Linked DNA regions of Arabidopsis thaliana. The protein of the gene in region 2 interacts with the protein of the main gene of each other region in a biochemical or structural test. Each region holds a gene or a part of one and is shown on either strand. Other genes may lie near its edges. The genes, in order: CDC2, HSF1 and TBP1.

Region 1 (11,579 bases), on a different chromosome or scaffold from region 2:
TCATGTCTATCATACCGATACCTAAAGTTTTCGTAAGTTGACTGCCAAATCACAACATAATAAACAACAGAGAAACAATGTTAACAAGTAGCTAAATTATCCAACAGTTTCAAAACAAGGAGCTTTTAGAGAGTAATGATTTTTACCTGATTGGTACTCATTAGGTACAAGTGGAAACAGGTAAGCCCACCAACAAACCAGACGCAAATGAAAGTGTAGATTATTAGTGCAATGGAAGCAGGAGTCTTGAGAAACGATTTCCAGATGTTTATGTTCTCACTATCCATTATCCGCTTGACGTAGATCCAGCAGAACACATGGACATAAATGCAGAGAAGAGTTGAGCACAACACAAACATGAAGTAGAACCTATAGTTTCTCTGCAATCAAAACCCCCAAATAACTGTTAGTTACTCTTGAATCGTCTAGGTATATGCAATTGTAATTGGTTTTTGATGAGGAAAAAAAATATCCATTACCAATCCAATGCACTGACCAAGCCAAGGACAGTGGTGATCAAACTTCTCGACGCAGTTGTTGCAAATCGAACAATGAGAAGCACGGGGCGGTCTGTAAAGCATGCATGTGTCACAGTATTTGATCTTGACAGTAATTCCATTTACAATCATATCCTTTGTCCGAGGCAACCGACTCTGAGGAGTATGAGCAAGACGTGGTTCTCCATTGCCTTCATTACTCTCTGGTTCAGGAGGATACAGATTACGTGGTATTATCCCTGGGTCTCTCGCGGAGGTTAGAAGAAGAAATACTAGATCCTGTAGACAAACAAATACTAAACCTTTATTATCAAGATGCCAAGAGTAAAAAGGTTGCAGTAGAGAGCTGAATCAGAATCAGAAGGGAACAAACATTCATGAGAAAAAGGAACTCACTAATAAAATCAGACCAACAGCAACAGCTAAAACTGATACTCCTCTATGGTGAGGAAAATCATCGATAAATTTTCTGCCAACAAAAATACAGAATACAATGACAGGAGCTGTAATTAAGAAGACGGTGATGAGAATAGATCGAGCATCAGGTCCAAACACGAGCCTTCCTCCAAGGAAGAACACCTGGAGACACAAAAAAGAATAAATCAAAGATCAGTAACATATTGACAAATGTTACAAATCTAGTTGAATTAACAACTTAAAGACTCTTGTAACTATGTGATCACACATCTAGGTAAATCTTTACTCAAACTTGTGTTAAACATCAAAAAGCTCTAATTTTGAAAGAGACCAGCATCTTTGACAGCGTAAACAAGACCAAATCTCAAAATTAGGGTATACATACAAGTCAAACTTATTACTCTAAACTTCTGAAAATATGACCAAACCCAGCAAAAAAACAGAGAGAATGATTATTCCACAACTTCTGAGTAATTCCACCAAAAAGGCTTAGGATTTTTGATTCAGATCTTATTCAAAGACATTAAATCTGACCCAGAAAAACAAAAACCAATCATAAAAGAGATAAAGAAGAAGAAGAAGAAGAAGCTCACGTTATTGCCTTTCCAGCCTTTATAAGTTCTGATCAGCTCATCACCACCACTAACACCGCCGCTACTACTCGGAGCTCCATGACGCCGATCTGACGGCTGCAAATCTAACATCGGAAGAAACCCAGAAAAAAAATCGCGTTTTTTTTTGCTACACAAACAAAGTCTTCAGAGCAATAAATTTGGTTTAGAAAATAAAAATCAAAAAAGGAATTATTGACTTGAGGGAACAGAGAAAGAGAATTATGTTTTTTGTTTCTTAATAATGCAGCTTTCCCTTTTTACGAGTCAACTAATTTCAAAGATATCAGTTTCTAATGGAGTTTATGGTAATTAGTTAATGATTTTTTTTTCTTTCTGTTACAGAATAATTGATGTGTAATAGATTCAGTAAGGGTTTTTTTTTTTGAGGAATCAGTCTTGACATTACACGTTTATAATTTTCTATATATTTTAAACTAATTAGGTAAATGACAATGAAACTGATTGAAATTAATAAGTATATAGTTTTTGGGGTGACATATTGCTGTTGAATTTGATTTAATAAAATTATTCTGATTTTATCATTAATGTGCTATTTATTTCTGTTGAATTTGATTTTTTTTTTTAGTATTTTGATTTTATGATTAATACACTATTGTTAAATATAACTTTATATACTAATTACTATTTATCTTTTAAAAAGGTCTATAATTATTTTATTGATTAATAGATAAATTGTAAGAGAAAATGCGCTCTGCAACAATAAGTAAAAATGTCTAAAACTTTAAAATGATAATAACTCTTGGCAAAAATATATATAAAATAATAATATATAACAAGTTTTCATTAGAAATTATGTTATAATATTCACTAAGGAAAGTTTATATACGAAATTTTAAAACGTAAAAAGTATAAATGCACTTTGATAATCATACATATATTCATGAATAAATAGATCGGTCTATTTTACACGAGGCTATGCTTTTTTGAGTTTTTCAGACACTTAAGTTTATGCCTCCCATTGGACTTGATTTTCAGAATGGAAGCGTCTTTGCTTAGTGAATAGATTGAAACCACTGCTAACTAACACTGAAATGGTTATCAGGTACCTTCATTTAGTTTCGAATTAGATTATTGACATTTGATCTACTTCGAATTTCGACCAACTGTAAAATGTAATCCAAACTATCGAATACGTGTTGAATTGTTCTTCTCGTCAATTTATTTGTCAGCTTTTTCTGGTCAACTTTGGTCTCATTAATGATTGGCTACTTGGACCCTCTTGTCTCATTAAAAACGGTGCACCCTTTATAAATAGGAAATTAAGATCGACGGACCATATATACTAGTTATCAAATGACGTCGTAACTCGTAAATAAGTACTAATGAAATCGAAAAAAGTGATGTTTTTTGGGATATATTTCAAAAGATCACTATCAAGGCACAATCAAGAAGCTGAGAAGTTGCATAATATGGTCATTTTGCAAAACAAAAACCATATTTCATATAGGGAAATACTATATTCTGGGTAAAATAAGATACAAGAAACTGATCTCAAAAGCTTAGAAGTAAAAAAAAACACACTCGAAATCTTCTTCTTTCTTTTTTTTCGTAATAGAATATAAGTAGGAAACGAACTCAGAAAAAGAATAAACAAAACCCATTAATATTGTTCTTCATTTTCTTAGGATTGATAATTATATATAGAATGAAGGAGATTACTGGTTTTATGCCTTTCTAAGGCATGCCTCCAAGATCCTTGAAGTATTCATGCTCCAGGGCGGCTCTTGCGTTGATTCTTTTGGTCGGATCCATTAACAGCATTTTCTGAAACAAATCAAGCAGAGAGATATATTATCATCTTTGCTTTCACAGGAGCTCAAAATCTTAGATTTCTATCCAGATGTCTGGTTTGGTTAGGAATTTCAAGAATCCTGGTTTTTGAAGATTGTTCATATTTCAAACAAGTTTGGTTTTGGCTTCATGTGGTTTTGAAACTATGAAGCCTAATCGAATTGGTTTTAGTACGCCGGCTCTTGATGACTTTATAAGACATCTAAAACCTCAAATGGTTAAAAGGTTTTTAGTAAGAAACATGAGACCAGATCCATCACAATCAAGCATACAGGTCTCTAATAGCAGAAGTAGTGTGTCTATATATGTGTGTGTATATATCTAGCTCAGTGAACTTACAGAAAGGAGATCGACTCCATCGGGATCTAGATTGGGGACAAAAGTTTCTAGGTCCTGTGGTATAAGAAAAAAAAACAAGGGCAAGAATTAATATATGTTGTGAACTCTTGACTACTGAAGACAAGATGTACAAGCGAATAAAGACATTTGAAGTACCGTTGGTTTCCATTTAGGGAAAGCAGATTTATAATCCGGTAGAGAAGTTACCCCACGCCATGTATCCTCGTACGGAGTTCCCATGATTCTAGAAGAAGACAACAAAACAAGGCAGTAACAGATTTATAATCAGTTAACAATTCAATTTCTGTGTCCTTTACTACTTCTCCAAAATGTGATATCAAGTTGAAAATGTTTCCACAATCCCTTGTGATATCATTGCAGACAAGTCTTTGCACTTGTAATATATAGAGGAATATTGGACTGGGGAAGTTAGCAATTAAACCTGAAAATCTTGAAGAGTTGATCAATCTCGGAGTCTCCAGGAAATAAGGGCTTTTGGCTGATCATCTCAGCAAATATGCACCCCACAGACCAAATATCAACAGGTGTAGAGTAATGATGAGATCCTAGGAGTATCTCTGGTGCTCGGTACCAGAGAGTAACAACCTAAAGGAACAATATGCAAAAATTGTGTGAATAACCAGGAAGAGATCTGAAATCTGGATGTAGCATTGAAATATTTTACAGTATCTTGAACTAGCTTACTTCAACCGTCTATGTGAAATGGCTTAGTCCTTTTCATCACATTTATCAGACACATAAGTGGTATAATACTTAATTTACATTACACTCATAAGGAATGCAGCCAGCCAAAAGATTTCATAACGGGAACATATGAACAAGGAATAAAGCTCTTTGGTACCTCATGAGTAAATGTCCTGACAGGGATACCGAATGCTCTGGCCAGTCCAAAATCAGCAAGCTTCAGTGAGTTTGTGCGGCGATCAATCAACAAATTCTGTGGCTTCAGATCACGATGGAGAACCCTATGAGAGTGGCAATACGCAATTCCACGGAGAATCTGGTAAAGATATGTCTGAAAATAGTGGATGAACAGCTCTGATCAGCTTATATTGAGTATTGAGTTTAAGCACATATATAAAACAATGCCTAAAGTTTCTTAGCACTCACTTTGATCATATGTAGATCCTTGGAGAAATCAGGAGTAGAATCCATGTGCTTTTTGAGATCCAAGTCAAGATACTCAAAAACCAGATACAAACGTTTCTCGCTGTGCACCACATCCTGCAATCTGTGTAGCAAAAAACATCAATCAAAATTGTTTACCAGAGTCATCATGCTGAATCAGTTTTCAACAATGGTATTAACATCATACTTGACAATGTTGCTGTGCTGCATTTCTTTCAAGAGGGAGATTTCTCTGATTGCTGTGCTAGGAACACCTTCATCCTCCTGCTCTAGCCTGATCTTCTTCAAAGCAATTGTCTCATTAGTCACTTTGTCACGTGCCTTATAAACCACACCGTAAGTTCCTTCACCAATCTTCTCAACTTTCTCGTACTGCATTAATAAGAGCACATTAACAGAGACTCTCGTCAAAAGAGTAAGAACTGAAACAACTATTTACACCAACCTGATCCATCAATTCCTGAATAATAAAGCTGAAGTAAACTCCACACTTATAAAATGTCACCTGTAGATTGATAATGACACATCGATAATAACACATCAGAGGCTATATTAATTAAGCTGTATATCAGCACACAACAATCTCAAAATTAAAGTCAAATCTACACAAAGACGCAAAGAAACAAATCAATCTCAGATCCGAGCTACTGTGGATTTGATTCTTTGGACAGAATTATGAAAATGAACAATCAAACAAGCCAGCTGAATCCAGAGCAGCGAACTCATATATTATCAAATCCATAGAAACATAGAGCTAAAGCGAACAATCATAAACACTGATGACAAAATGCACACAAGCAAAACCAGTCTAAATCTAGTGAAACACTAAGAAACGCCACTGAAAATGCAAAACGGAGGAAAACAAGTAGAGATCAGCGACGAAGCAGTAAGATAATTGAAGATGGAGAAAAGATAAAGCGTTTGATGAATTGACAACAAAGTTCAAGTCAGAATTTCGCACGGAAAACAAGTTCCTCCTCCGGAAAAGAAATTGATCGGAGAGTAACGAAATCAACTTACCGGCGACGATCGGATGTAGTGTCAGTGAGACTAGCACACCGACGGATCCTCTCTCTTCTCTGTGGTAAAAAGGCAGTAGAGAGAGAAGGGTGGTGGTTTTCTGTGAAAAGCTTGAAGAGAGGAGGACTAGGGAAGGGGATTGACTAATTGAGAGTAAGGGTTTTTTCTTTCTTCTTTTTTTTTTTTTGTGTCAAGGAAATTTTGTTCGTTATTTTTTTTTTCTCTTCTTTAATTTCCAATAAATTGAATTTACCTAACCGCATTAATTTGGTACAATTTTATTTATTATACCGGGTTTGATTGGTATTCAATGATAAAAAAATATATCTTTTATGATGAAAATGGTTTGCTATCTTATAAAATGGTATATGAACCAAAAAAAAATCATTGCAGACCAATTATAAATCAAGAGTTTTGGTTTTACATTGGATTGTTGTCTATCTCAACGATCCATTTGACAAGCAAAATTGTATGTCCGGTTTGCTGTAACCATTTAGAATCTAAGTTAGAAAAAGACGTTTTAGATCATAAAAATGAAAATGGAGAAACATATGTATCCTGTAAGTCTTTGGAGGACCAACCAAAATATAAATGGGCAATAATATGAAAGTTGTTTTAATTAAAAAATATGTCAGTAAACAACTCAACATTTAATGTAAATAATAAAGTCTGGCACCTTGGACCAACACAAAGATAAATGATCAATAATATGAAAATCATATGTTAAATGTTGAGTTAAGAGACGAGTCTTATTCATGTGGATCTTCATCAATGCTGATTTTAGTATCTAAATTTAGTCTTTAGCAGTTATATTTATATAATAATATATATAGTATAACGTTCAATATAACCGATTTTACAAAAAAAAAAATACTTCCCAAAATCCTCGTTTATTTCGCACTTGCTCACATAAAATTTCCAAATACTTTTTTTATAAACAAACCAAAATTAATACTTGCAAGAATAACGTGAGTAGAACGAGAAAAAATAAACTATTCAATAAATCACCCTGATATTCTGATACTTTATGAAAGAAAAAAAAAAAACTCAAAATTTTGTAACTAATTAAAGAACACAAAACTTTTCTACGATATATATATCTTCAAAACTTTTATCCCAAGAGTTCAAAAATATTAAACATAAGCCGATCTCGTGATCAATTTTTTAAGTTATTCTCTGAACAAGCAACTGCCATATATTAACATTTTTAAGTAATCAAATATATATAATTGGTGAGAATTGATTTATTTTCAGATATTTCTCACATTTGTATATTTTGGGAGATTAGATATATAAAGTTTTTTCTGATAAAAGAGCTATACGGTTATCAGTTGTAAGTAAGGGAATTGGCAAAACTAACCAACAAAAAGTTTATAATTAAGAAACTAACATCAAAAGGAAAAAGAACTGATATCCTCTATATTTTGTATATTAATTCCAAGTTTACCCCTTTATCTATTTTTCTCCATTTCTCTTTCCGTCTACCTCTCTCTTCCCTTCTATCTTCCCTCCCTCTTTCTCTCTCTCCCCCTCTCTCTTTCTCTCTCTTTCTTTTTCCCTCTCCCTCTCTCTTTCTCCCAGTAAAGTCTTTACACCTACCTCGTTACTTGTTTTTGTTTTCAAATCAGAGTCTCTTAATTACTTTTGGGTGAGATTTGATTTGGGGGTTTCGAATTACAGAGGGAGGAACACAATTTGGATTCAGGGAATCGACTTTCGTTGTTGCGCTTGGTGTCTTGGTGATGAAATTGAGTTTCGTTGTTGCAATTTGAGAGATACTATTCTATTTGTAAATATACTATTTACGTATACTTTGTTTTATATACGTTTTAAAATGAATTATTTGTTTTGATTAAGGATGTTAAGTGATTTAATTATTGGTTTAGATTTAAACTCTTGGGTTCTCTATATATTATCCTTTAGGGTTTAATATCTTTCTATAAAAAAATATTGTTTATCTATATAGAACTTTATGTTATTCATTGACAACACTATTCACATCTAAATTATTTTATGTTTGTTTTCAAAAATTTAAGTCATGATATATGTAGAAAACTATACAACTTTTTAATTGATATATCATGAACTTGAATTAAATTTTTTAAGATCAGATAATATGAATTACAATTGGGAAGGGGTAAAGAAAAAAGTAAGAGAAAATGGAACTTCTATCCTACCACCTGATTTCTTTTCTCACCTCAACACCAATAATAAAGCCACGTCAGCTCACACTAAACATTCTCCTTCTTCGCTGCCAAACGTAACAGCAGGACAGTGATGTCTTTTCACACCCCTTGAAGGTTATTTACTACATTTTTAAATTTATGGTGTTAGTTAGTTAATTATTTAGTGAAAAAGTGCTATATCTACAAATCACCCTTGTAAGTATTGGGTCGTAAGTCCTGACAAAAAAAAAACAGAAGTTGAAGGCCCAAACAAAAAAAATAATTGAAATGTCGTCAAAGTCTCAAAGAAAAAAGAAACATGGCAGTGACAAAAAAAAATAGTCAATCAGCAAAAAAAGGTCCTACCGGGAGTCGAACCCAGGTCGCTGGATTCAAAGTCCAGAGTGCTAACCACTACACCATAGAACCGAGTGGTTCACATACGAAACTTTTATTTATATACCGGTTACTGAAAACGATTAACAAGAAAATAAATTCATCTAGAGTAGCTAAATGAGACACTACATAACACTTTTACGAATAGTATAGTTTTAAATTAAAGTGTATTGGTTTTATATTTTCGTAGAAATTAATTACTTAACTATCCATTTACAATTTTAGAAAATTGGTTTTAATTTCTTTCTAAAATCTATAAAACTAGTTTTTGAAAAAACATTTACCATTTCTTCCTATAAACTCATTTTTTTAACCGTGACCATATTTTTTTCATTTTTTAAAGTGATATAAGAGAACAATTACAATATAGTATTAATTAATTTCCCTTCTATTTATTTTTATTGTTTAGTAAAAAAAAACATAAACATCTATATATACACTTTATTGTCATTTTTTGTATTACGTTTAAAAATATGAGTTTTTGGCTTAATCTTATATGCTAAAAATAGCAAATACTCGGACACATTTATGAAATGTAGACATAACTTTACTGCTAAAATATCATAACTAAATCTCATGCGCTTGTCAACCTTGAAAATCATATAGATATTTTGATATTTCACCAAAATCAATAATTTTCTCATTACATCATTATAATTATATATATATATATATATCGAAAACAACTGTACTGAAAAAGAAAAGGGAAAATAAAACAAAGAAAGAAAAAAAAGAAAAAAGAAAAGGGAAATGAAAGGAAGAAGAAGATTTCGATATTTCCTCTCTAGTTGCCAAGCAAGGCCCCTAGGCAATAGGATATGTCATTATTAACACTAAAAAGAGACTCTCCTTGGAAACGAAAAAAAATAATTCAATATCTCAAATATCCCTAAATACAATGCAAAGTCGTTTTTAGTATGAAAAATGAGCAAATTAACATCAACAACAAAAATCGAAAACTGTTTGTTTCCTTAATGATATTTCATAGTACATGAGATAGTGAGTTACATTAATCCGTATAAATTTTGTATAAACTCCTATAGGCCTCTTACTATAAACTGTTGACTACATAAGCTATACCTTTTTAAGGTTTATCTAAGATATAGGGATTATTCAATATCATACTTTTTCATTTAAGATCAAAAAATATTAACCATGAGAAGAACTGTCAAAACGCAACAAAGTGGCAAGCTCTTGTTTTGTTTCAAACCGAAGCAAACTTATATTGGTTTAATCTCAAGTAGTAGTTAATGTGAATTAGTTTACGAGTAGATAAGACTTTGTTTCTATATATACTATCTGCACACTTAGAAAAATATTATCGTAATGCATTTAAGAGATTACACTCTTAACTAAAATACTAGCTAAATTAAGAGAATGTGGTTTACGTGTAAATATGTATGATTTCATAATCTTTTAGGAGATAAATTAATAGCATAATAACAATGGGAAAAAAGAGGGACAAAAATTGGTGCACCAAAGCTGCCGGCCAACTGTACACAAGACAAGAAATCTTTTAAACGTTTTGCCCTTAATGGATGACGAGTGTGTTTTATTTATTTTAGAATTTCGTTTCTAACAAGAATTTCCTAATCATTAAAGGCAATATGATATCTGGATAATGCATAAATATAAATTTTGTGTAATATGTTCCATTACTAAATTGTGAAGATTAAAATAATAAAAAGGCAAAAATAATTTTAAATGTTAATTGTCTTCTTTCTTAATTAGTCATCTATATTATTTTATTCTAGCAAATAAATATACACAGTTATATATTATTATTCAATGTTTATATGCACACCCAAAAAAAAAGATTTGAAAATTAGGAAAGATGAGTAAAAAGTATGCAACTACCCAAGTTGCCAAGTGTTGCACCAAATTTGGGGAAGACCATAAAAATCAGATATGTTCTTCTTAACGCAATAAGAAAAGAAGAAATATTAAAAACTAAAAACAAAAGAAAAAGGAGAGAAAAGAATTGAATAGAAAAAAAAAACAAAGCTGTGATATTATCTATCTTGTTCTCTTTCAAGAAGAGTGGAATGTTCACTCATAGAAAGGCTAATAAAGCCTTCAATAATTTCTCTATCATGCGAACAAGTATAAGATTAAATAAAAATAAAATAAAACAACAACTTGGTACTTATATGTATAGTCTTATCCCAAACGATGATTAATAAATCTCTTAACATATTTCTTTTAAAATAAGGAAAACAATGATTTTAAATTAATTTTGTTTCAGTCAAATACCTATGAAAACAGTATCAAATAGCAAATAGGGCACGAGTTTGGGTCAGACGTCAGTTTATAGTTGTGATCGATTTGGCTTGTGCAAATCGAAGCAGCCACATTTTTTATTTTTGTTGGGGTAAAACGAAAAAAATACATTGCATGTATAAATGAATTGCAAAAAGAAGCCGAAAGCCTTTTTTTCATTTTGAGTTTGATTTAACACAACTGTTATTCTTCACACTAAATCAATTATATATGTAAAGTTCAAAATGTGTACTAAAATACACAACTTTTCAAAGTAATTTCCCTCTAATGAAACCGTAATCGTGAAAAAAATATTATAAGAACTTATACCTACGGTATCGATCATGAATGTATCTAGAGTTTGGTGCAAATTCGATTAAATAACTGCTGAACATGATGGTTCTACACTTCTACTTGTGTGGTTTCTCTACCAAAGTTTAATTCTTAGTTCTAAATTATAATCATTCATTGCAAAGTCCTTCAATGGCAACTTCAGTTCCATTGGAATCTAGTAGTGTACGGATGACAATGGTCACATGACTCACATCTACGCCGTCATCATAAAAAAGACTCAATATATGTACGAAGAAGTAAAAGTCAATATTGGTACGTACGTGTAGTAAAGAATGGAAAAATATCATTCGATTTAACTCTTTTTCATATAATAACTTTGCTTGATTTTAAAGTTTAAGAAAATACTTTGTTTTTGAATAAATATATAAAAATGAATTGGTCTTTTAAACTATTATGGCGATTACGTTTTTAAAAAAATATATTAATATATATCTAACTCGCACCCAAAAACTTGTTCTATAGTACAACATTTCCACTTATGTGATTACTGATTCTATTCAAAGATAACAAAGTTTTCGTAAGTTCAAGATATAAAATCAAATGAATTTTCTTATCCG
Region 2 (10,088 bases):
TCTCCACTGTTTCTTTATAAACTCTTTTTTTTTCTTACTTCAAAAAAAAAAACATAAAGAAACCTTTTTGATTTTGTTTTAGCTCATTGGACTTTGGACTTTGCTTTGCTATGCTTTATTTGTTTCACAAGATTTAACATTTTTGGAAGATTCTCTTCTCTGCTTTCTCTCCATACGGCAATAGTTTTCTGGTTTTTATGACCAATCATGTAATGGAAGTAATTGATAGTCCATATGACAATGAGTACACAATATTTATAAAAGAAAAAAAGGTCGAAATATGAATTTTGTTAAAGAAAATACACGCCAATTAACTTTTTCAATTTTTATATTTTGCTACATAAATTTTTCTTTTTTTTCTTTTTATGTGACTAGTTTCTCTTTTATTTTTTGTAAAAATATTTATTATGGGGATTTAAATATAGATATATACAAAGCATCCATAAGCATAAACAACATTATTATTTATCTTAGTTCATGTGACTAAATGTTTTAGGAAGATATATTTACAAGTGGTTATAACCAAACATAGGAGACAAAGGTATTAAAACATACTATTTAATCACATTCTTTTGGTTTCTACTAATACGCATCATTTAAGGTTGGGAATTAGAAACTTGATAGATTTGTTGTTGGGTGTGTAAAATAAGCTAGGCATTAGAATAATGCAATAAAAAAATGATATTAATGTTGATCAGTGGTCGTTTTCTATAAATAATAATTTTGATGTTTAACTTTAATAATTTGTGAGTGAAAAGACAACAAATCTCTTGATGTCTTTGTTGATTGAGGAACACAGTTCGTATCTAGTTTAATTTGTCTTTCTCCCCTGTTATATAAGAATTCAAATGGTTAAAGCAATTGAACTAATGATGTCATTGTTGCTGGAATAGTCATTAGGTAAATATGTAATTAAAATGAAGGTAATATAATATAATGTTTAGTTTAAATTTGTTTTCGAATTATAAAACGATAGCTATAAGTTTTTTTTAATATAATTTGGATAGCAATAAGTTTTTTTAATCAATATGAAACTTCTAAATTTGTATTTGTTTCGTAACTTAAAATCCAAATTTAAATTCAATAAAATACATAATATCAGCTATGTATTAATAAAAGAAATTGGACAGTCCAAATTAAATTCACTATCTACTACTACTAGAAATGCTATTAAAAATTAAAATAATAAGCTTGGATCGCTACATTAACTTCAATGATCATAACTCTAATTTCAAAGCCTAAATTCATGTGAAGAGGCTCGCAAGTCGAAATTCCAATAAATATCAATATCAGCGTCGATTTCGTTGACTATGGTTAAATTAAATCTTAACTACTGCAGTTACTTTAGTAATTATTGTAGTATATTTCAACTACTATTAGTATTTATATACCTTCTTCTCACGCCAAGTGGGCTTAATAAGATTAATAAATTCGAAGAGTATTATTTATCAATCCGTATAAAGGTTTGTTCACCGAAGACATATGTAGATAGTAAGTTCAAAATTTCAAATGTTTAAACCGATGATCAGTAAAACAATATACCGTGTCCGTGCTCATGAGCATATGTTTCGAAGAATACAATACATTTCTCTAATCAATATATAATTAAATCTCTTAGGGTAGGATTTATTGGTTGTCAAGATTCGAAAGGAATGATTTGTTTATACTTTCGTATATAATAGGATTTATATTTCTCATTGTTTATAATGTCCTTTCAGATTATCAACCCGACAAAGAATATATGATTAGATTATCAAATTGGTGCAAATTGCCGTAAATTTATTAATATGTTATTGATTAGACTATATATAGTTCATTCAAAAAGGAGAGATTCTCGCATGTCTCAGTGACTCGCTAGGTTCATCAGTTTTATTAACTCTAGTAAGAATTTTTTCCATGTATATTAGGTCTCTCTGGTCTATACATCTATATACATTGGTTTATACGTACATCGGTACATATACATACACAAATGAGACATTGTACGTTTAGTATACAGAAATGATTAGCATATCATTCGATAAATTCCCACCGTTTATATGTGTGGGTGTGTGTGCGCGACATAGACATATAAGTATATTATATAAGCAGCATTGATGTATGTTTGTATCATGATTAGGTCCACAAAAGTGTCAATACCATCATTAATGTCAATATAAATGGTAACACGTCCCCACCATATAATGCCTACAAATCTACATTAGGTGCACATACATAACAATTTGCGTATATGTGTGAGTTCTTGTCGATTCATTTAATTATTCTTCTATAAACTATTTCCAATAGATGGTAGTGATATATGATATCATGTCAACATTATTGGTAATTTTCTTTACAAAAAATGATTAAAGAAAACACACAAACTGCTAACTTTAGTATAAAATCATCACCCAAACTCTTCTTTAACAAACGTAATCATTTTCTTAAGAAGATTAGAAACACTAATCATACGATTTACTTTTTCTTTTTGTCAACATAATCATATGATTTTCTAAAATTATATTTTGAAGACTTTTTTTTGGTGTTTGGCCTCGAGTCATTTATATTTCTTTCTCTTTTGAGTGTGATTTAATAATCATGAGAAAAAAGTCCAACCAACTTTGAAATAGTGAGAAAGCTACTTGGACGTCTGTTTTAACTCCACGTGTCAAGCTTAGAACATTTAAAGGTTTTGCTTACAATTTTTATTTATTTGATCCAACCAACACCAACCCATCTCAGATATTTTCGCCAATCATAATCAGAGATCAAATTATAACGGTGAAGCTATTTTTAACTTGTATATTAAATAGTAAAATATACATGTTACACATCCGGATCCGTGGCGCAATGGTAGCGCGTCTGACTCCAGATCAGAAGGTTGCGTGTTCGATTCACGTCGGGTTCAATCCCCCGAACTATACACCCGGTTTCTTTTTTCGGTATGACATACCTATGTCTCCACTGCACGACGTCGTTCAGCGATATAACACTAAACGACGAGACATCTGAGCTAATTTAGTGAAACCACACGCAGTTTTTCTTTGCAAGCCTTAAACTTTTTCTTTCTTTCTTTCTGATACTGATACTGATAGTATTGAGAGACTGACTAAAAAGAAGAACTAGAATTACAAAGATAAAGTAACTGAAGGAGAAAATCTATTAATCAGCAGGCTCTTCAGGCTTCACAAAGAACTCTATATAAGCAATCCGACTCGGTGGCTGATACCCTGCGGATTCCACTTGTGGAGCTAAAGCTTTAGAAACTGAAACCAAGTGCTGAACTTTCAACATTCCTCCTCTTCCTATTGTTAGTTTGCTTCCCCTGTTTTCTCTCACTACGTTTCCCGGTATGTTTGCCGTTGTTGCTTTCAAAAACTTGTATTTGTACCTACAATCAACAATGAGAAGTTTAGCAAATGTATCTGGCTACTATTCTTGATTGGTAAATCAAGCGTAGGAGCGTGTGTTTTAACCATAAAGCTACGGTAGAGAAAGAATTGAGTTCATTGTTACCCGTAAGAGACTTCGGTATCACAATGAAAGGCAAGGAGAAGATCTGTGTTGGCATAATACATGAAGTCTATCTGCAAAGAGGATAGATCGAAATATGTTCCTTGATTCTTTCACATTAAGATAATATACATCACCAAGAAACAAGTGAGAAACAAGACCTGCAAGTCTCCATGTCCTTCTCCTCTAAAGATTACACAAGGGGGTTCCTTTTGAAGACTGATCTGTACACTTGAACCAGGCCATTCAAGATCATCTATTGCTTCCTTCAACGCCGCTGACTGATAGATACATTATCAATTACCATTTGAGAAAAAGCTCAGACTAACAATGTTAAACGAAAAACGATACTAAACTATGTTACTACCTTTACTGTAAAAGTAAGTGGCGCGATTCCCGCCTGCTCAAAGTTGTAGTCCCAAGTAACAGTTTCGGGAATTCTAGTTCTTATCTCAGAGTAGATGCAAGAGTTTAAGGTATCAACAGATCTAATCAAACACTCACACCAATCAGCTAATTACTCGTAATCCGTATATTCACAAAGCAAAGGATCATAGTACACATACTTGAGAAGAAGCTCCATATCAGGTCCTGGATACTTGATTTCTATAGTATTAGAATGTCCAGGTGATGAAAATGTGTTCAAGCAATCAACAAGAAGCCCTAAGCTGATTCCGAATCTCGGCCTACCTTGAGCTCCATACTCGTATTTCGTGAATAGCTACTCATATAACACATCAAACAGATTTCGGATTCAATCGAATTTTAGGGGTTTAGAAAATTTAAGATAAACTCAGAAATCGATACCTCGCGTTGAAGATAAACTTTGGCTTGAAGACAACCTGATTCTTCAACAATCAAAACTATTCCGTGTTCAGATAATTCTACTAAAGCATCCTGGAAACGGAGAAGTTTTCAGAAAATCAAAGAAGAACCCTAGATTGAATTTGGGGAGGATGGAGATAAAAACCTGGTGGCGTTTCCATCGGACGCAAGTGAGTGCATCGACCATTCCTTGAACATTATCGAGCTGGCAAATCAGGTCCGGTGTGTCTGGTTCAATCGCCGGCGACGAGGACGAACTCATTTCTCTCTCTCTCTCTCACTCTCCTTCCTCTGCTTTCCCGCCAGAAAATGTATGCCGACAATATAGCAATTAAATTGATTATTATTATATTTGTTTTAGCAGGCCCAGTTATTAATAAAGTTGATCTTTTTGGCCCACACACAAACTAAAAAGAAAAATAAAAGCCCATCTTTATGATATCGCGTTTATATCTGAGTCACAGAGAAATAAAAGGGTATGTTTGTAAATTTCAAATACTTCTCTTTCTTTATCCGTACGAAAATGGACGGTGTTACCGGCGGAGGAACGAATATCGGCGAGGCTGTGACGGCGCCACCACCGCGGAATCCGCATCCAGCGACTTTACTTAATGCGAACTCTTTACCGCCCCCTTTCCTTAGCAAGACGTATGACATGGTGGAAGATCCGGCGACGGACGCGATTGTCTCATGGAGTCCGACGAACAATAGCTTCATTGTTTGGGATCCACCGGAGTTTTCTCGTGATCTTCTACCTAAATACTTCAAACACAACAATTTCTCCAGCTTTGTTCGCCAGTTAAACACCTATGTAAGTATAAATTCTCTCGCGCCCTAATTTCTCCACCATTGATTTCTCTAATTGTACTGTGTATAGATTATGATTTCGTTGAATAATCTTAGTGCTTGATGTGTTTGATAAGATTTATATGATTCATGTGCCAATTTTGATGAACAGGGTTTTAGGAAAGTGGATCCAGATCGATGGGAATTTGCTAATGAAGGTTTCTTAAGAGGTCAAAAACATCTATTGAAGAAGATAAGCCGGAGAAAATCTGTTCAGGGACATGGTAGTAGTAGTAGTAATCCACAATCTCAGCAATTATCTCAGGGTCAAGGTTCAATGGCTGCATTATCTTCATGTGTTGAGGTTGGGAAATTTGGGTTAGAGGAAGAAGTTGAACAGCTTAAAAGAGACAAAAACGTGTTGATGCAGGAACTCGTTAAGTTACGCCAGCAGCAACAAACAACAGATAATAAACTTCAGGTTTTGGTTAAACATCTTCAGGTTATGGAGCAGAGGCAACAACAGATTATGTCTTTCCTTGCTAAAGCTGTACAGAATCCTACTTTCCTCTCTCAGTTTATACAGAAGCAGACTGATAGTAATATGCATGTAACCGAGGCCAATAAGAAGCGGAGACTCAGAGAGGATAGTACTGCTGCTACTGAGAGTAATAGTCATAGCCATAGCTTGGAAGCATCAGATGGACAGATAGTTAAGTATCAGCCACTTAGAAACGATTCAATGATGTGGAACATGATGAAAACAGATGATAAGTATCCGTTTCTTGACGGGTTCTCATCTCCAAACCAGGTATCAGGAGTCACTCTTCAAGAGGTACTACCCATAACTTCAGGACAGTCACAGGCATATGCATCTGTACCATCAGGACAGCCTTTATCATACTTACCCTCTACTTCAACTTCTCTCCCGGATACCATAATGCCAGAGACTTCCCAGATACCACAATTGACACGAGAGAGTATCAACGACTTCCCTACAGAAAACTTCATGGATACAGAGAAGAATGTTCCAGAGGCATTCATCTCTCCAAGCCCATTCCTTGATGGTGGTTCAGTCCCGATTCAGCTTGAGGGAATACCCGAAGACCCCGAGATTGATGAACTAATGAGTAACTTTGAATTCCTTGAAGAATATATGCCAGAAAGCCCAGTTTTTGGAGATGCAACTACACTAGAGAACAACAACAACAACAACAACAACAACAACAACAACAACAACAACAACAACAACAACAACACAAATGGTAGACATATGGATAAGCTTATAGAAGAATTGGGTCTTCTCACATCAGAAACAGAACACTAGTAAAGGATTATGTTTAGTATCCATTGTAAAGTCTTTCTCTACTAACATTATCGTTAGGACTCAGTAGTACGGTTGCAACTTTGTGCAGAAATCTTTCCTTGGATAATAGAAGAGTTGTATTTATTATTAAAAAGAAAATGCCATTTTTTCTAATTTATTGTAGAAAGTGACTACTTTGTCCAATCATATTTGTAGTCCTTTTTCGATAAGAAAAACAGAGTTGGAATTTTCCCGGGGAAGCTCTTTTCAATGGAGGTCCTTGCGAGCTCTTCATTATCCCCAATTTCTTTTACTAAGCCTAACAAAATAAACCCTAATTTCTCAATCCAGGTACTTTTCTTTCGTATAGTTGACTCCTTTTTAAGTTTCTCTCCTGCAATTCCCCAATTTGTGTCCGTTTAGCTGTGTAATAGAATTTTCAACCTTTGCAGGTGAAATTGTGGGTAAAACAACCTCCAAAGATTTCAAAAGCTAGCAAATTTAGTTATGCTCGTAGTCGTAGTAACATTTCAAGGAGCAATGCAGCAAACCCAGGAGTCGTGTTCGTCTGTAATAGATTTCTGTGTGTTATCGAAAGAAATGATCAGAGGAAATTATCTGGGAAGGTTATGATGAAATCTTCTGTTAATTTCAGACAGAATCTCTCTGTTGCATTAGTTCGGATCGTTTCTGTTCTGCTTGTCTCTTCCATTTCTGTTGTTACCACTGATTCACCACCATCATGTAAGTTCTGTTTTTTTTACATGTTGAGAAACCATATAAATTTCGGGGAATGCAATTTGATTTCATTTGTGTGGCTTTTTTTCTCTGTCTCTTTAGGGGGTCTTACTGAAGAGAATCTTCTCTTCCTCGAGGCTTGGAGAACAATTGATCGTGCTTATATTGATAAAACCTTTAATGGACAAAGCTGGTTTCGTTACAGAGAGACTGCTTTACGAAATGAGCCTATGAACACTCGAGAAGAGACATGTATGTGTGAATAGCTTTATTAACCTTTTACAAAATTAGTACAACTTGCTTCTAAATTTGGTGTTGGTTTGTGTTTAGACATGGCTATCAAGAAAATGGTGGCAACACTAGATGATCCTTTTACTCGATTCTTGGAGCCCGGAAAGTTCAAGAGTTTGCGGGTAAGATTTCCTGAAAATATACAGTTCTGAATTTAGCAAATAGACTGTATGTAAGATCTAGTAATTAAATGGTTTGGTTGAAGGCAGTCGGGGACTCAAGGGGCGGTTACGGGTGTTGGGCTGTCGATAGGTTACCCCACTGCATCAGATGGACCACCAGCTGGGCTTGTTGTTATATCAGCTGCTCCAGGAGGTCCTGCAAATAGGGCGGGGATATTACCTGGCGATGTTATTCAAGGAATTGATAATACAACCACAGAAACTCTTACCATATACGATGCTGCACAGATGTTGCAGTGAGTTACATTTCCATTTTTCATCATTCCTTAACTTTGAAAAATCTAAGTGTGACGAGTTAATGGTTCTGAAGTAAGAAATGATGATAATGCTTTGGTTGAAATGCAGGGGACCTGAAGGAAGTGCAGTGGAGCTAGCGATTCGCAGTGGACCTGAAACGAGACTCTTAACTTTGACGTATTTCTCTCATGCCTACATTTATCTTCGTTGTCACGTTCATTTGGTAACTACAATTGTTGTTATTTCAGGCGAGAGCGGGTTTCTGTGAATCCAGTGAAGTCAAGATTATGTGAACTTCCTGGTTCTGGGAGTAACTCCCCTAAGATTGGCTATATCAAGCTAACAACATTCAATCAAAATGCTTCTAGTATGTATTCTTTGGCATTACTGATTCCTTCTTACAAATTTATCTACTCTCTAGTTTATTATCTCTCAAAGTCTTAACACTTTTTTTGTAGGTGCGGTAAGGGAAGCTATTGAAACCTTGAGAGGCAACAATGTAAACGCATTCGTCTTGGACCTTCGAGACAATAGGTGATGATTTTTTGAGAACATAAACTCTTTTTTGCTTTTGCAACAGCCTTTCTTAAAAAAATTGTTCTTGCTGCAGTGGAGGTTCTTTCCCAGAAGGAATTGAGATTGCTAAATTTTGGTAATAACCTCATAAACCGTTACATATAACGAATTAGAAAATTTCAAGATCCACAGCTATCATAATAGAAACTTCAACATTTGCTATCCACAGGTTAGATAAAGGAGTGATTGTGTATATTTGCGATAGTCGAGGTGTTAGAGATATATATGATACTGATGGAAGCAATGCTATAGCAACCTCTGAGCCTCTTGCCGTTCTTGTATGAGCTTCCATCCTTCCTTTCCTCAAATCTAGTCCTTATTGTAATCTGTAAATGCCATGAAAGATTTCATTCTCACACAATCTTTCTCTTTTCCAGGTTAACAAAGGCACCGCGAGTGCCAGCGAGATATTAGCAGGTGCCTTGAAAGATAATAAACGTGCTCTGGTTTATGGAGAACCAACTTACGGAAAAGGGTAAACAAAATGGCGCTATTTTTTATTCTTCTTCTCAGAGACCGAACCGTAAAATTCCTGAGACTTTAACGCATTTTGCAGCAAGATACAGTCGGTTTTTGAGCTTTCTGATGGTTCGGGCTTGGCAGTAACAGTTGCTCGATATGAAACACCAGCTCACACAGATATAGACAAAGTATGAAACTACTTTCTTCCTGTAGTAACCCCCTCTGTGTCTACACTACACTACATACAAACATGTTCTTACAGTCTTGACTCGTTGCTGGTTGTTGTATAGGTCGGTGTAACTCCTGATCATCCATTGCCAAAGTCGTTTCCGAAAGATGAAGAGGCGTTCTGTGGATGCCTTAAGGATCCTACAGCTGCTTGTTATCTCAATCAAGGCCTACTTTTTTCTAGATGATTTTGTTTTGTTCAAACTTTGTTCTGACAACATATGACTAAAATTTATTGACTCAAGCTTTGTACTTTTGAAGATTCGCCATAGCTTTAGCTAATCGAAACCAGAAATTTCACATTTAAGAACACAAACAGAGGATTTTCCTTCAGAACCAAGTTATATTACAGAGACAAAGCAGTAACACTCTCTCCTTCAGAACCAAGACTCAGCAAACACAAGCCAAATCAAACCAAAGTGAACTACTCTATATACTCGATAACAAGAAACAAGAGACCAATAGTCCAACAGACTAAATTGTAGGAACAAAGAGAGTCGTGACAAACATATACTCATTGATGCTTCTTGATTGATGATGAAGCACTTGTCCATGCTTTTATGAGCTTGGGGAAATCAAACTGCGAGCACTATAATAACAATCATGAGCACGATACCAAAAATCACCAAGAGCAAGCACGTCTACAAGAAAAAGAAAAAACAATGGAAAGAAGAAGTTAGTAGGCTGATCTGATCATCCAAAATCCTCAAAAACACATTTCATGGTACGATCAAAAGCTTTAATATATTACCAGAGAAGAATTTGATCTTTGTGTCTTTGATGCCTTACGAGATGGGATTTTCCTTGGGCAGTTGCAGCGTAAGAGTTATCGATGTGAGTACCAATATCATCTACACAAAAATAGGTCTTACGTCTTAGGTTTTGAAGACATAAGTGAGAGTTTTAGCATAACAAGAGTTGGAATCAGTTTTACCTATCATGTTTCCTTGATCGTGCACCAACAC
Region 3 (11,849 bases), on a different chromosome or scaffold from region 2:
CAACCAAGATGCCTTGTTGAAGATAGGCTTGCAAATTCGAGCAAAATCTAAACGAAAAGACAAACAAAGTGTTAATGTAAGGAAGAAGAAGCATTTTTCAATTGTATAGCAATGTTATACAGTTCTTTCCAGTAGTACCTTGAGCATCCTCGCTTTCTAGAAGCTTGATCACAAGATGGCCACCATGCCTAAGTACACCAGGACGACTTTCGTTTGGGCCTCCATCATCATCATTAGGTGACTGAGAGATGGCAGCTTGACCAACAGCCAAATCAAGTGCTCGCATTCCCAATTCAGCAGACAGAGCTGCATCTCTAGTGGTTATTCCAGATACTGAGTGACACATATCTGAAAGAATGACTGAAAATCCCAATTGCTGCACCACAAAGCAGTCCATAACTTGTGTTACAACAGTTTTATAGAAAACAAAAACATCAACCATGCTTAGAACCAAGTCTAATAAAGTCACAGAGACAGTTTCAGAACCTGAGGTGATAACTCCCGAATCTTTTGTCTGGGAAAGTTTAAAACATCAGCAGCAATGGTTTGCACTCGAGAATCACACTGTGGAGGAACCTTCACCTTCTGCTCTGAAATTGAAAAAGCTCATGGATTCACACAGTTTAGAGCAAAAAGATTACATTTTTGAAGCTTCCTCTGACCTTTATATCCATACCAACGACAATTCCACCACTTCTAAGTGGGCCTAAGCTTTGGCAAGCAACCTGCACCGAATCATAGCAACAAAATTCAAGTTTAGGCCTCTTTACACAGAATTCGAAACTTGTAACTTATGGAATCTCAAAAAAAGACCTGAAGCCAAGCACCAGGCGCGCAACCTAGGTCAAGAACAGAGGAGCCTGGTTTGATGAGCTTGTACTGTTTTTGAATCTGTAGAAGCTGTAGTTGCAGAGACAGACAGAGAGAAGAGTCAATGTAAGAAGAAGGAGACGAAGCTGAGGAGGGTATGAATGTAATATTGACCTTGAAAGCTGAGCGAGCAACATAGCCAAGACGTTGAGCTTCTCTGTAGAAAAAGTCCGGTACACCTGCCCCACTCATTTCCTCCGGCGCCGACAACAACCGATGTCTTCTGCTTCCTTTTTTGTTGTTTTACCAAAACCTTATAAACCCTAAAATGTCCACATTTTTAAATATTGCAAACTAGTCAAAAAAAATATTAGCGAGGATAATTCTATTTTAAATCAAAAACTGCAAATTTTTTACTCATTCTTAACAGTGAACAAAATATAATAGTGAAAAGTATTATTAATTAGGAGGATAAAAATTTGAAAGTTGATCAAGTTTACTATTTACCTCTATGTGAAAAGTATTCAAAAGATGATATTAACAATGATATTTCAACCTTGACAAAAAAAAAACAATGATATTTCAATTTAAACACAAACAAAAAATAAACAAGTTTACATCTATGTCAACAGGGTATATTCAAGGATGCAAGACTAAGAAGGGGTTATTGGTTTATAGATTTATAAGGAATTGAAATTCCAAACAAAAATCATTTGTTATTCAATCATTGATTTTAAAATTTTAATTAAAATCATGTGTTATTGATTCGATGATTTATAAATACTAGTTAAAATCATTTGTTATTCGTTTAGTCATTTGTTTTTTGATTTGAAAATCCAAATTATGTTTTAAATGGAATTGAATGGATTTGAAAGAGAAAAATAAAAGGATTCAAATCCATGGGTAAACACATGTTATTTCAAAATTCATATATCTTGATTTCATAATTAATAGAGATTTTCAAACTCTATATAGATTTACAAATCAATAGACCAATAACCCCTCCTAAGATAAACCAATACAAATTATAATTAGAGAGGTTTTTACATATATGTGAGTACTCATCTAATAATATATGATAAATTAATGTTATATTGGTGAAATCCTTTGGAACTTAACTTGGACTATATACTTGATTTATCTTCTAATTAATTTTGTTTTACAGCAATGTAACCATTTTCTCAACTTGAAAATTTTATTAATTTAACGTTAAATAATATTAATTAAATTCAGAAAAAGAAAACTCAAACTTTCCAAAAACAAAACTTCAATAAAACAAATTAAAGAGAAATTCATTAAACCATTTTTTAAATTGATATTTATTTTATGTTTGGTATTAAGTGTAAAAATACATAATTTTATTTATGGAAATAAATACATTAATGTATTATGGACATTGTGTAAATTTCTTAAGATACTTTTCTATATATAGTGCAGAATAACGAAAATAAAAAAGAAATACATTAATGTATTTGGAGATTTTGTAATCTCCTTAAGATATATTTCTATACAATGTGCAAAACCAACGAAGATGAGAAAACACATGGCACAATTGTATCCTTAAGGTGATAAGTTTTGTGTAAATACAAAGACTTGAAATTCGTTAAGATAAAAGTGTAACAAGACGATAATACAAGGATAAGATATGGAGGCTGAATCTAGTAGTTCTGGACATCGACGACAGAAACGTCCACGACAAAAGAGATCATCGGATGTGATCAGTTATGAGAGCAGCGTTGCAAATCTGTCAAGAGAAGGGAAAGAGACGTTGATGATTGTGAGTCGCAGAAGACAATTGAATAAAATCCCCAATACGTCTTCTACTGTGTTTGATAATACATGTCCTCGTTACAACTGGCTTCGTTCTGGTTGGATCGCTGAGGAGCGTCTTAAGGTCTATGACCGACTCTACCGGGTAACTATTATTTTCTTTTGATGGAAAATTAACATGCTATCAACTAAGTGGTAGTAGTTTAGTTGTTCTTGTCATGTTGATTTAGATTTTTTTACTAGACTCACCTTCTATTGTCACCGCAAAAAATTCATTAGTTTTAAGAATTAGTAATCTATGTTTTGGGATAGAATCTCTCTTTCTATGAGAATTGTATTCATTTTTCAAGATAATATATGTTTGATTTGGCAAGTATGATTAAAGTATAGTTTCGAGACCCGAGTCAAGAAAAATGTATGCACATGCATATAGTTTCTTCTCTAAATCTCAAGCTCACTCAAATGTTAGTTTTTATCCTAGTTTTTACTTCTTCTTTTTTGTCAACTCTTAGCTTTTACTGCATATATGATTCTTCATTCTATATGTGTGTGTTTATATATATCACACATTTTTATCATTTAATTTCAATGTACATTATAATATAACAGATTTTAATATTTGTTTAGTTTTCAATGTGCAGTATTTTTATGATCCATTAGGGCAAATGTATCATACTCGTGGAGAAGTGGATCAAATCTATGCAGATATTGAAAAATCGCGCGCAATAGTCGTCTTCCGAAAGTAATCTATTTAGTAGACCTAATTTGTTGGGAATTGATGGTTCTATTATGTAAGTGGCTAAAAATTTCGAATCCAAATTATTTAGATAAAGAAACATTTTTTTTTTTTAATGTGACAATCAATCGAGGATTTTCTTGTTTTGGTGTTTAGTTGAATTGAATCTTCTTTGTTTATTTTGGTTAATATTATATTGTGTAACCAAGATTAAATTTGGTGTTTTACTGCTAAATAAATAATTTGAGAGGGATTGTGGCAAAAGTGCAGCAAGCCAACTTTAGTAGTTGGGCCCTGTTAATCCAAAACCCCATTCTCAATAGAATCCAAAATATTTAGAACCCAATGTGAACGAAGGAAAGACGATGGCCGACAAAGTATTGTCAAATGGTTTAGAGATTGATGAAAACCAGTCACTGCCATAGTCCATAGATATTAGATTGAATGGAATGATGAACAAAAAAATAAAAGAATTGTCTAAAATTACATTTCCCCTTTTTCCATGGTCCTACCACCAAATTACATAATCAAATCAATTAGAAATTTGGAATGAACAGACTTACCATAAAAGTAACCAAAAGTGTCAAGGAACGTCTTGTTTCTACCAGCTATGATTTAAAAAAAATAAAAATATAGACTCTTCTTTTCAGAAATTAAGTATGTTTCTGTATTTTGTTGTTTCCCTTTGTACAGTTGCCCACTTTGGTTCCTTAGTCGTCAAGTGAAAGTTATTGTTATTACCATTCTCCTTCTTTACATGGACGAACCTGCTTCAACCACCATTGTTGTAGCCACCTGATGTTTCCCGTTCTGTTTCATTTGGTGCTGTGTCCAGTACCTATGTGCTCCTAAGACTCTGTCTAGCAGTTCTTGAGGCACTGGTTCTCCTCTTCGTTGCTGTGGTGATATACTTGCTGTGTGAACCAACGTTTTCCATTTGTCCTGCAACAAATCACAAAGTTATTGGAACCATTTATGTAGTGGCTAAGACTCAAAAGTGTGTTTGACCAGTTTCTGATATGTGTTCTCATACCTTCAAGTCCACATAGGTTCGATGACTTGCATTCTCAAAAGAACGCAACTTCACATCACGCCATCTGTGAAATAAGAATATCTATCATTAGTTTGACCACATAACCAAATTATTGTATTAATAACCCTCATCAACCAAACCAGTCTTTTTACCTTCCAGTCCCAACTTCTTCAACTGCGCTTACTAGAGCTTCTACCTCTGTAACAGAGAATGGTCTCCTGGTTCTGCGTTGTGAAAGCTCTGTACGCTTAGGTTTCTCGTTAACTGGAACAAGTGCAAGAGCGTCGGATTCCAAGGCCAAAACTGGAACCAGCGCTCTTGAATCTGATGAAGGTTGTTCATCAGCTGGTATGTCACTCAGATGTGGGACTAATTCATCATTGTTCTCCACACTATTTCCCAAATTAATCAAGTAATCTTCATCTTGGGGAGGGAGAGGAATTCCAGTCTCTAACGCTGGAGAAGCTGCGGACCTAGCAAGATCGAATGATTGTCCTTAGGTATATCTCTAGAGCTTCAAATTTATCCATACACAAGCAAAACTTGCAGTAACAAATATATATATATATATATATAAGATCACGTTTGTTAGTACCTTTCTGACAACTTTGTAGAGTCAGTTGGCAGAGAAAGGACAGGAGTTTCAGAACAAAGAGGTACAGGCAGTGTTTCCAAACCAGGCTCTAAGGTGAAGCCAAGGTTGCCAAGATTTTCTCTACACGAAAGACCAGTCTGTGATAGAGTGTTGTTGTCATCTCTAACTTTTTTCCCTTGGACTAACACCCCAATACGTATTCCACCACCGAGTAAAGCAGTAACCGCCTCCTTCACCGTCCTCTGCAACCAAAAAGGTTTATGTAAATAACACTTCATCATTGTACACAGCAGAACCAAAACATCTACAGAGACCGGTAGGAAAAGACATTTAATCACGCACCTTCAGTAAGCCTACTGTTGCTGTTTCTGGAACTTCAATTACAAGCTCCGGAATCCTAAGGGACTTGATGCTGAACTTTACTGCAAACAATGAAATAACATGAGACCCACATATCATGTCTCCATAAGTCAGTAAATTATCAACTGATCATATACCACGGGAGTCTTTCGAAAGAAGACCTATTTTTGCAGCAGAGAAATCACCATTTTCTGCATTCAACAAAGAAGCAAAAAAATCATGAAATCAAAACCATATCAGCCAAGGTAATAAACCATCTAGATATAGACTAATATGTACCTGATTCTCCCTTTTCAGGTGAATTGGAAACACTTTCACTACTGAGCCCACCATCATAATTTACGACCAAACCTTTGTCAGACAATCTTCTCTTCCTATGAATGGTCTCACGCTTCCATGGGTTGTAACCATAACATAATTTTCTCTTGCGGTAGAGAGCCTTCAAACGACCATCTAGAAATATATCCGCAAGCAAAGTAAGGGCAGAGCGGCAGCTAAAAAGAAATGCACCAAGGAGAAACACAGTAATATGATACTAACCTGTTCTAGTGTCTTCAAAACACTTCAACTTGGAGATTGCTCTCACCGACTGCATTATTCTTCTATTGCCAACCCGGGAGAGAGGCCTATATGACTTACATTTGTCACTAAATTTATAATACTTACAATAGTTTTCGTCATCATCTCTGCAAACTAACTTAGAATGATTCCTATATCCTTTAAAAGAATCATTAGGGACTTGATCCGTGCATGGTGCTAATTTCACATCGCCATCCAGAAGGACCGATTCTGGAGACTGCGAATGTAATTGACTTGGATCCTTTAAGCTGAAAGTATTAGCACCTTGTTCAGATCCGGCATCCTCATTAACAACACATGTCTCCTCAGTGATGCTCCCTACCAGGGACTTCAAACCAGATGCCCTCTTACAATCAGAAACCGGTGTTTGCTCCAAAATGCAATCATTTTCGAAAGACGAAAATGGCAAACAAGTCACGCTAGTATTTTCACTAGTAGACTTTGAAGCAGGGTTTCCTGGATCGAAAAACTCGGATTTACAAGGCTTAGTAGTATAGCCATCTTCAAGTTCTTGCTTAATCAGTCCACCCAAATGATCAAGATTATCAGCTTCAGATGCATAGGTAGACGTTGAGGAACTTTCACTTTCTTCCAACAACTTTCCAGCAAGAGAAGCTAGCAAATCAATTGCACAGATCTCACTTTCATCATCAGATCTCTTACCTGAGACCTTCCTCTACAAAAGGGAAACAAAAGTCATCAGAGACGTATTACAAAAGCATACAAAAAAAAAAACAAAAAAAATGAAGACCATGATCTCTTACCCTGCTTGAACGAGGAGCCTTGGGAATATTGGGGAAATCAAAACCATTAGAGCCACCACAATTTAACTTCCTTTTGACCACCATCTCTCAATTATGCATAACAAAACAACAACCTGCAAAAAAATCAAAGACTTTTAATGTCATGATCATCTCCAACAAAATTAAGCTAATCAGTATAATTTGAACACATTCTTAAACTAATGATCAACAGATCCGAGGTCAAATGCAAAAAAAAAAAAAAAATCAGGAAGATAAAACTAAGCCCTATACAGATTCAGATCAACAATGAACACCAAACCCTTGATCACTTTGTTTGTTTTTTAAAAAACATGCAAAAATGCAGCGAAACAAGCAACGTATAGATGAAACGCAAAAACTTAGATCAATGAAACAAATGTAACTTAAATGCTCACAATTTACGTAGAAACAAACAATAAAACATAATCAGATCTCGATTGCCAACTTCTGACAAACCGCCAAATAATTTATTCGACTTCAGATTCAATACTTTTTTGTCACCAAAAACAGAACATGAATTGAGTTTGTGGATCAGAAAAACAGAATTGAGAACATGAATTGTGATGAACAAAAAAACTCACCTAACAAGCCAACGATTCCTGGATCACAATCTGGCGCCAGTTAAATTATAGATCACGCAAACTGAATAATTACGCTACCTTTACCTCTCACGAATCTCTGATTAAGAACAATTGTGCTATACAAATGAAAAGAGAAAAAAATTACAGAGACTTTGAAATTCTAAGATTTAAGAGAAAAAGATTTAACGATCGTCCTTGTCTTTCTCTCTCTCTCTCTTCTAGAATAGAAATAACGAAGAAGAAGAAGAAGAAGACATTAAACCCTTTGAAAAAGAAAAAACCAAACAACTGAAAAAAAGCTTAAACCCCCATTTGAAGAAAATAAATACACCATTTTTTTTTTGTAAGTAGAGGAAATAAAATAAATAATAACCACGCGACCGGATGTGGCAGTTCAAGGATAGTGGATTTACCGGGTAGAGCCAGTCACTCTTCGAACCATTTTTTTTGTTTTTAATGACACGTGGAGGATACTCTTACTACACGAAACCTATTTTGTTTGTCATTGTCAGAACCAAAAAAAAGAGAGTTAATTTCGGGATTGGATAATAATTATAATATTCCCATTTTGAAGGGAATATTATGAGGCTGTGATACCGCGTGGTATCCCTTCTTTTACTGTTCCGTGCACGTTTTTACATCATTGGTCCACGTGTTTTCTCTTGCTGACGTGCTTTTACACCTGGAATTTGTTTTTGCCTATTAGCAGAAGAGTGGGGTGGTTCGTTTAATTCGATTCTTTGCTTTTAAGTCTAGTTATTAGGTAGAGTAAGGTTTAAGATGTTTCGAAAACTATTGAATTCTTCCCCATTAATATTTTCAAAGCTTTATTTATGACTTTTTATTGGTCAAATATTAATGTTGGGTAAGTTTATTTACTGTTATTAAAAAGTTTGCGTTGAATTTGTTTAATATTGACTGGGGAAGCCAAAGACACTTTAGGATTATCATCCATGAAATAGTTTACAATGGAATCCTTCAATAGTATATTAACATGATAACATGAATGAAGATTAAGTAGTAAATTTATTGTACATTTAGGATAATCATCCATGATAGTGTTGTTAAGCATATTCCCAATTGGACGGAAAAGAGCATATTCTTAGTTGTAAAAAATGTTAAATTACTCGGTAAGACGGATATAGGAAAATTTAAATAAAACGAGATCCAACCACCTAACAAAACGAGAATATTCCATTTTAATTTGAAAGTCAGTTGGCATAAGCTTATCTTAAGATATAGTAAAATAACAAATAAATAAAATAAAACAAAAAGTTCTAAACTAGTATATTTATAGAAAGACAAGATTTCACATGGTTGATTGTCACACTCATACATTGTCTTATTTTTTTAATACGCCGATAACACTGGATTTATATCCATGTCGTTGTGTTTAGAAGAAATCCATGTGTTTGTGTTTGTGTTTCATGTAGATGTGATATAGTCTATGTGCACACATGATTTTCATACTTTTATAATATGAGATCTCTGTTATATATATAACATACCAAGTTGTTCTTCCTACCATTCAACGTTTAATAATGTTATGGGAATCATTTATACACTGTTGACGAAAACAGTTAATTAATATTGCGGTGACGATAACATATGTATTGTCATAGTATGTCAAAATAACATCAAATTATGTATAACAATTAACAAATATATTTTTATTCATATAAGATGTCTTTTGATCCCAATGTTTTTCAAATATCGACAACGAATGTGTAGCAGGCAGAAATATCCTAAATAATAGCACAAAAACCGAAGAGAGTTGGATTCTAGCATTTCATGCATTATGCTTCAGCGGATGAGGCATAGATCTGCTCTTTACTCGTTTGCAAGCTAATTCGGTTGGGTTGAACAGCTTTTGTTCTTTTATTTCTCCTTTAAACTTTTTTTTTTCTCTGTCACCAAGTTGAAGAAAAGCAATCACGTATATATCATCATCACATGGTTCTCATATCCTGGCAACATTTCGATATTGATATAATATTCCGTTAGCCAACAAGAATCTCAATATCTTACATTATACCCTAACATCTACGTTTGATTTGAAACTGCCTTTGAGATGGTTACGTATGCTTCAAGGCCGTATATATTCCTTGAGGTGGTTGAAATAAAACTTACTCAACTTGGACTTCATTTCCAATCAAATTTCCTGTAATATTTTATACGTTAATATATGTGTTTATATATATGTAAATGTATATATCATTCAAACCAAAAAAAAAAACACTATTGTATATATCTGGTATAACAATTGTTTTTCGTGTTCAGATCTTGTGTGTTATGGAAAATAGATCTATAGGTGTGTTTTGATTTCATCTTTCCTACACATTAAAAGAGAAGTCCTTATTAAAAAAATGTATAGCAAATTTGTATGAAAGATGATTACTTTTTAGCCAGTTAATCTCATCGTGATTCTATATACTTTCGTTTTGTTTTCATTACATAAGATTTCTAGAGTTAATTTCAAAGTTTGAAATATTCTTACAAGAAAAATCAATCATTTAAATTAGTGCACACTAACACTTGAAATACTATTACGAAATATACATATTTTAAAAAAAAAAAAAAAAAAAAAAAGAAAAAAAAAAAAAAAGAAATATACATATTTTAATTAATGTTTTTAGTCAAATCATAACTCTAAATATTTATATTAACGGTTGGAATAATATTTAGCATACCAATTAAGACAAGACATGAATGCCGCGTCAAACATATCCGTATTGGGCGAGGTCGTCGAATTAACGAGTTTCCAAAACACTAGAAAACGATGTTTTTTTGGGGCCAAAACCAGCATAAGTAGTTGTTGAGTACATTGTCACCATCCTAAATGTATGAAATCATGAAATCATAATGTTTTATGCAGAATTGACTAAGAATTGATAGCACCCACATAGTCGTTCGATCATGCTCATGCACGAGCACGAGCACGACATAGGCAAAATGTGTCACATTGCAAAAACAACATGGTTATCCAAAGCTATCAATAATTCAATACTATACCCTTTCGACTAAAAACACGGTAGAGTCGATCGAGCCGTCCCGTTCTCAGATTCACGATCATACAAAATAAACTTTGGTTTTTGCTTGAAGCACGGTCGATAGAAACATAAATTTTCCATATAGGACAAATTTTTTGATTATGAATTTATGATTGAAAATGGGTCGGAAACCGGAATAATAAAGTAAGGTATGTATTAAGTGGGTCCAAGTGGGGGGTGGATGCGTGAGTGAAGAAGATACCACTAGTAAGAAGTAGTTCAACTGTTCAAGTAACCTTTTAATTAAAGAAAAAACGTTGCGTGAAAAACAATCTATAACCGTCAATTCTGACTAAAACTATAAAAGAAGGAAAGTTGCAAACTCAAACGTAAAAAGGATTTCCTCGTGCCAAAAGATAAGAAAACAAGTAGCTAAAGAAACCATATACTTCTCTGTATAATGATGACAATAAGGCAAAAACAATATTGGGCTTTTTAAACGTTGAGTTTTCAGATAGGTTGCCTCATCGTTTTATACACTTGGGCTTTTCAAGATTGAAATTTGCTTCTGATTGCAAATATTTATTCTTGGACCTAATAACGTAGGTAGGATAGATGCATTTTCTTAAGAAAGCCTCAGAACTCTCTTTGACATTTTAGAAAGAGTTGGATAGTTTCCTTATAGGTCACACCTCTCTTCAAACAAATCAAGTAACTAGTGATGCAAGTGTTCACTTTTACCACGTCTGATTTTGTCATTTCTCCAAACTTATCGGATTGGCTCCAACCTAAGCCAAAAGGACTAGTTGGTCCGTTGGAATGAGTAATGAATTAGTTTCTTTTAAGGTAATGATTTTGCCGGAAATAGAGGTTAAATGTTGAGTTCACCTAATAAGTAATTTTGCCGGAAACAAAAGTTTATCAAATGCGAAAATGAAGTATGACCCTTTTCTTATGGACTTGTCACCGATATAATCATGAATGTTTGCGGAATCAAGATTAGAATATTGTCAATGATACATGATTGTCTTATATGTTATGTTTTAACCACCAACATTCAATTACGCTCAACCAATAAATTGGTTCTGAGAGCCCTTGATCATACTTGAGAGTTAGCGAACAAGAACGATGGAGGATTATGTCGGTAGAAAACTTCTAACCAAGTTGTCATAAAAAGACGATCAAGCGAGTAGAACCACCCAATTACTGTCGTAATCAACAAGATGCCCATAAACACACGAAATATTTACAATCAAATATATAGCATAAGAACACAGTTGTCTTTCACAACATTGACACACAAGAGTCAAAATGCTTACTACCCGTTTCAGACATTTTGATTACACAATTACATTTAGCCCTTAGTAGCAAACACATACATAAACTAAATCCACGATCACCGGCATTCCCATTACCGTTGATCGCAAACCTTAAAAAACCCAAAGTGAAATGCTGCTGATCCAAAAGAGATTTTCGGATACTTGTGGCAGCATCATTCACTGTTCTACACAACAATGGAAACATCAAAAGAGAAATAAATACCTCTTTTTTCTTCTTTTTTTTAATGGTTTTTTCAGGTTCATTGATGATATATCTCAAGAAGAGCAATCAGG

The links.
Region 1: the proteins of HSF1 (region 2) and CDC2 form a complex in vitro, tested with the Arabidopsis thaliana proteins (one study listed by BioGRID).
Region 3: the proteins of HSF1 (region 2) and TBP1 form a complex in vitro, tested with the Arabidopsis thaliana proteins (one study listed by BioGRID).

Annotation. Positions count from the first base shown.
Region 1 is NC_003074.8:18,065,941-18,077,519, reverse strand, and holds CDC2 (cell division control 2), read right to left. Parts: upstream 6,067-11,579; 5' UTR 5,849-6,066; intron 5,334-5,848; 5' UTR 5,283-5,333; coding exon 5,274-5,282; intron 5,201-5,273; coding exon 5,016-5,200; intron 4,932-5,015; coding exon 4,811-4,931; intron 4,716-4,810; coding exon 4,542-4,715; intron 4,286-4,541; coding exon 4,122-4,285; intron 3,924-4,121; coding exon 3,836-3,923; intron 3,734-3,835; coding exon 3,680-3,733; intron 3,314-3,679; coding exon 3,224-3,313; 3' UTR 2,879-3,223; downstream 1-2,878. Other genes in the region: AT3G48760 (DHHC-type zinc finger family protein), read right to left, coding at 1-41, 147-380, 480-776, 894-1,076, 1,508-1,618. UniProt on the Arabidopsis thaliana protein: Involved in the control of the cell cycle. Essential for both G1/S and G2/M (mitosis) phase transitions. Functions in cell morphogenesis as well as cell proliferation.
Region 2 is NC_003075.7:9,866,311-9,876,398, reverse strand, and holds HSF1 (heat shock factor 1), read left to right. Parts: upstream 1-4,752; 5' UTR 4,753-4,795; coding exon 4,796-5,128; intron 5,129-5,275; coding exon 5,276-6,430; 3' UTR 6,431-6,581; downstream 6,582-10,088. Other genes in the region: AT4G17760 (PCNA domain-containing protein), read right to left, coding at 3,142-3,370, 3,496-3,566, 3,654-3,773, 3,860-3,980, 4,059-4,213, 4,300-4,389, 4,463-4,579; AT4G17740 (Peptidase S41 family protein), read left to right, coding at 6,680-6,760, 6,862-7,153, 7,250-7,399, 7,478-7,560, 7,648-7,856, 7,966-8,034, 8,106-8,224, 8,316-8,391 and 5 more; SYP23 (syntaxin of plants 23), read right to left, coding at 9,682-9,703, 9,875-9,974, 10,058-10,088. UniProt on the Arabidopsis thaliana protein: Transcriptional activator that specifically binds DNA sequence 5'-AGAAnnTTCT-3' known as heat shock promoter elements (HSE).
Region 3 is NC_003076.8:4,456,576-4,468,424, reverse strand, and holds TBP1 (telomeric DNA binding protein 1), read right to left. Parts: upstream 7,586-11,849; 5' UTR 7,247-7,585; intron 6,872-7,246; exon of another isoform or gene 6,761-6,871; 5' UTR 6,732-6,760; coding exon 6,648-6,731; intron 6,560-6,647; coding exon 5,845-6,559; intron 5,758-5,844; coding exon 5,584-5,757; intron 5,496-5,583; coding exon 5,442-5,495; intron 5,367-5,441; coding exon 5,287-5,366; intron 5,187-5,286; coding exon 4,945-5,186; intron 4,823-4,944; coding exon 4,502-4,822; intron 4,414-4,501; coding exon 4,350-4,413; intron 4,259-4,349; coding exon 4,070-4,258; 3' UTR 3,688-4,069; downstream 1-3,687. Other genes in the region: AT5G13830 (FtsJ-like methyltransferase family protein), read right to left, coding at 1-47, 139-376, 487-585, 663-725, 814-900, 985-1,062; AT5G13825 (uncharacterized protein), read left to right, coding at 2,456-2,725, 3,222-3,326; AT5G13810 (Glutaredoxin family protein), read right to left, coding at 11,832-11,849. UniProt on the Arabidopsis thaliana protein: Binds specifically to the plant telomeric double-stranded DNA sequences 5'-TTTAGGG-3'. At least 2 repeats of telomeric sequences are required for binding. Induces DNA bending.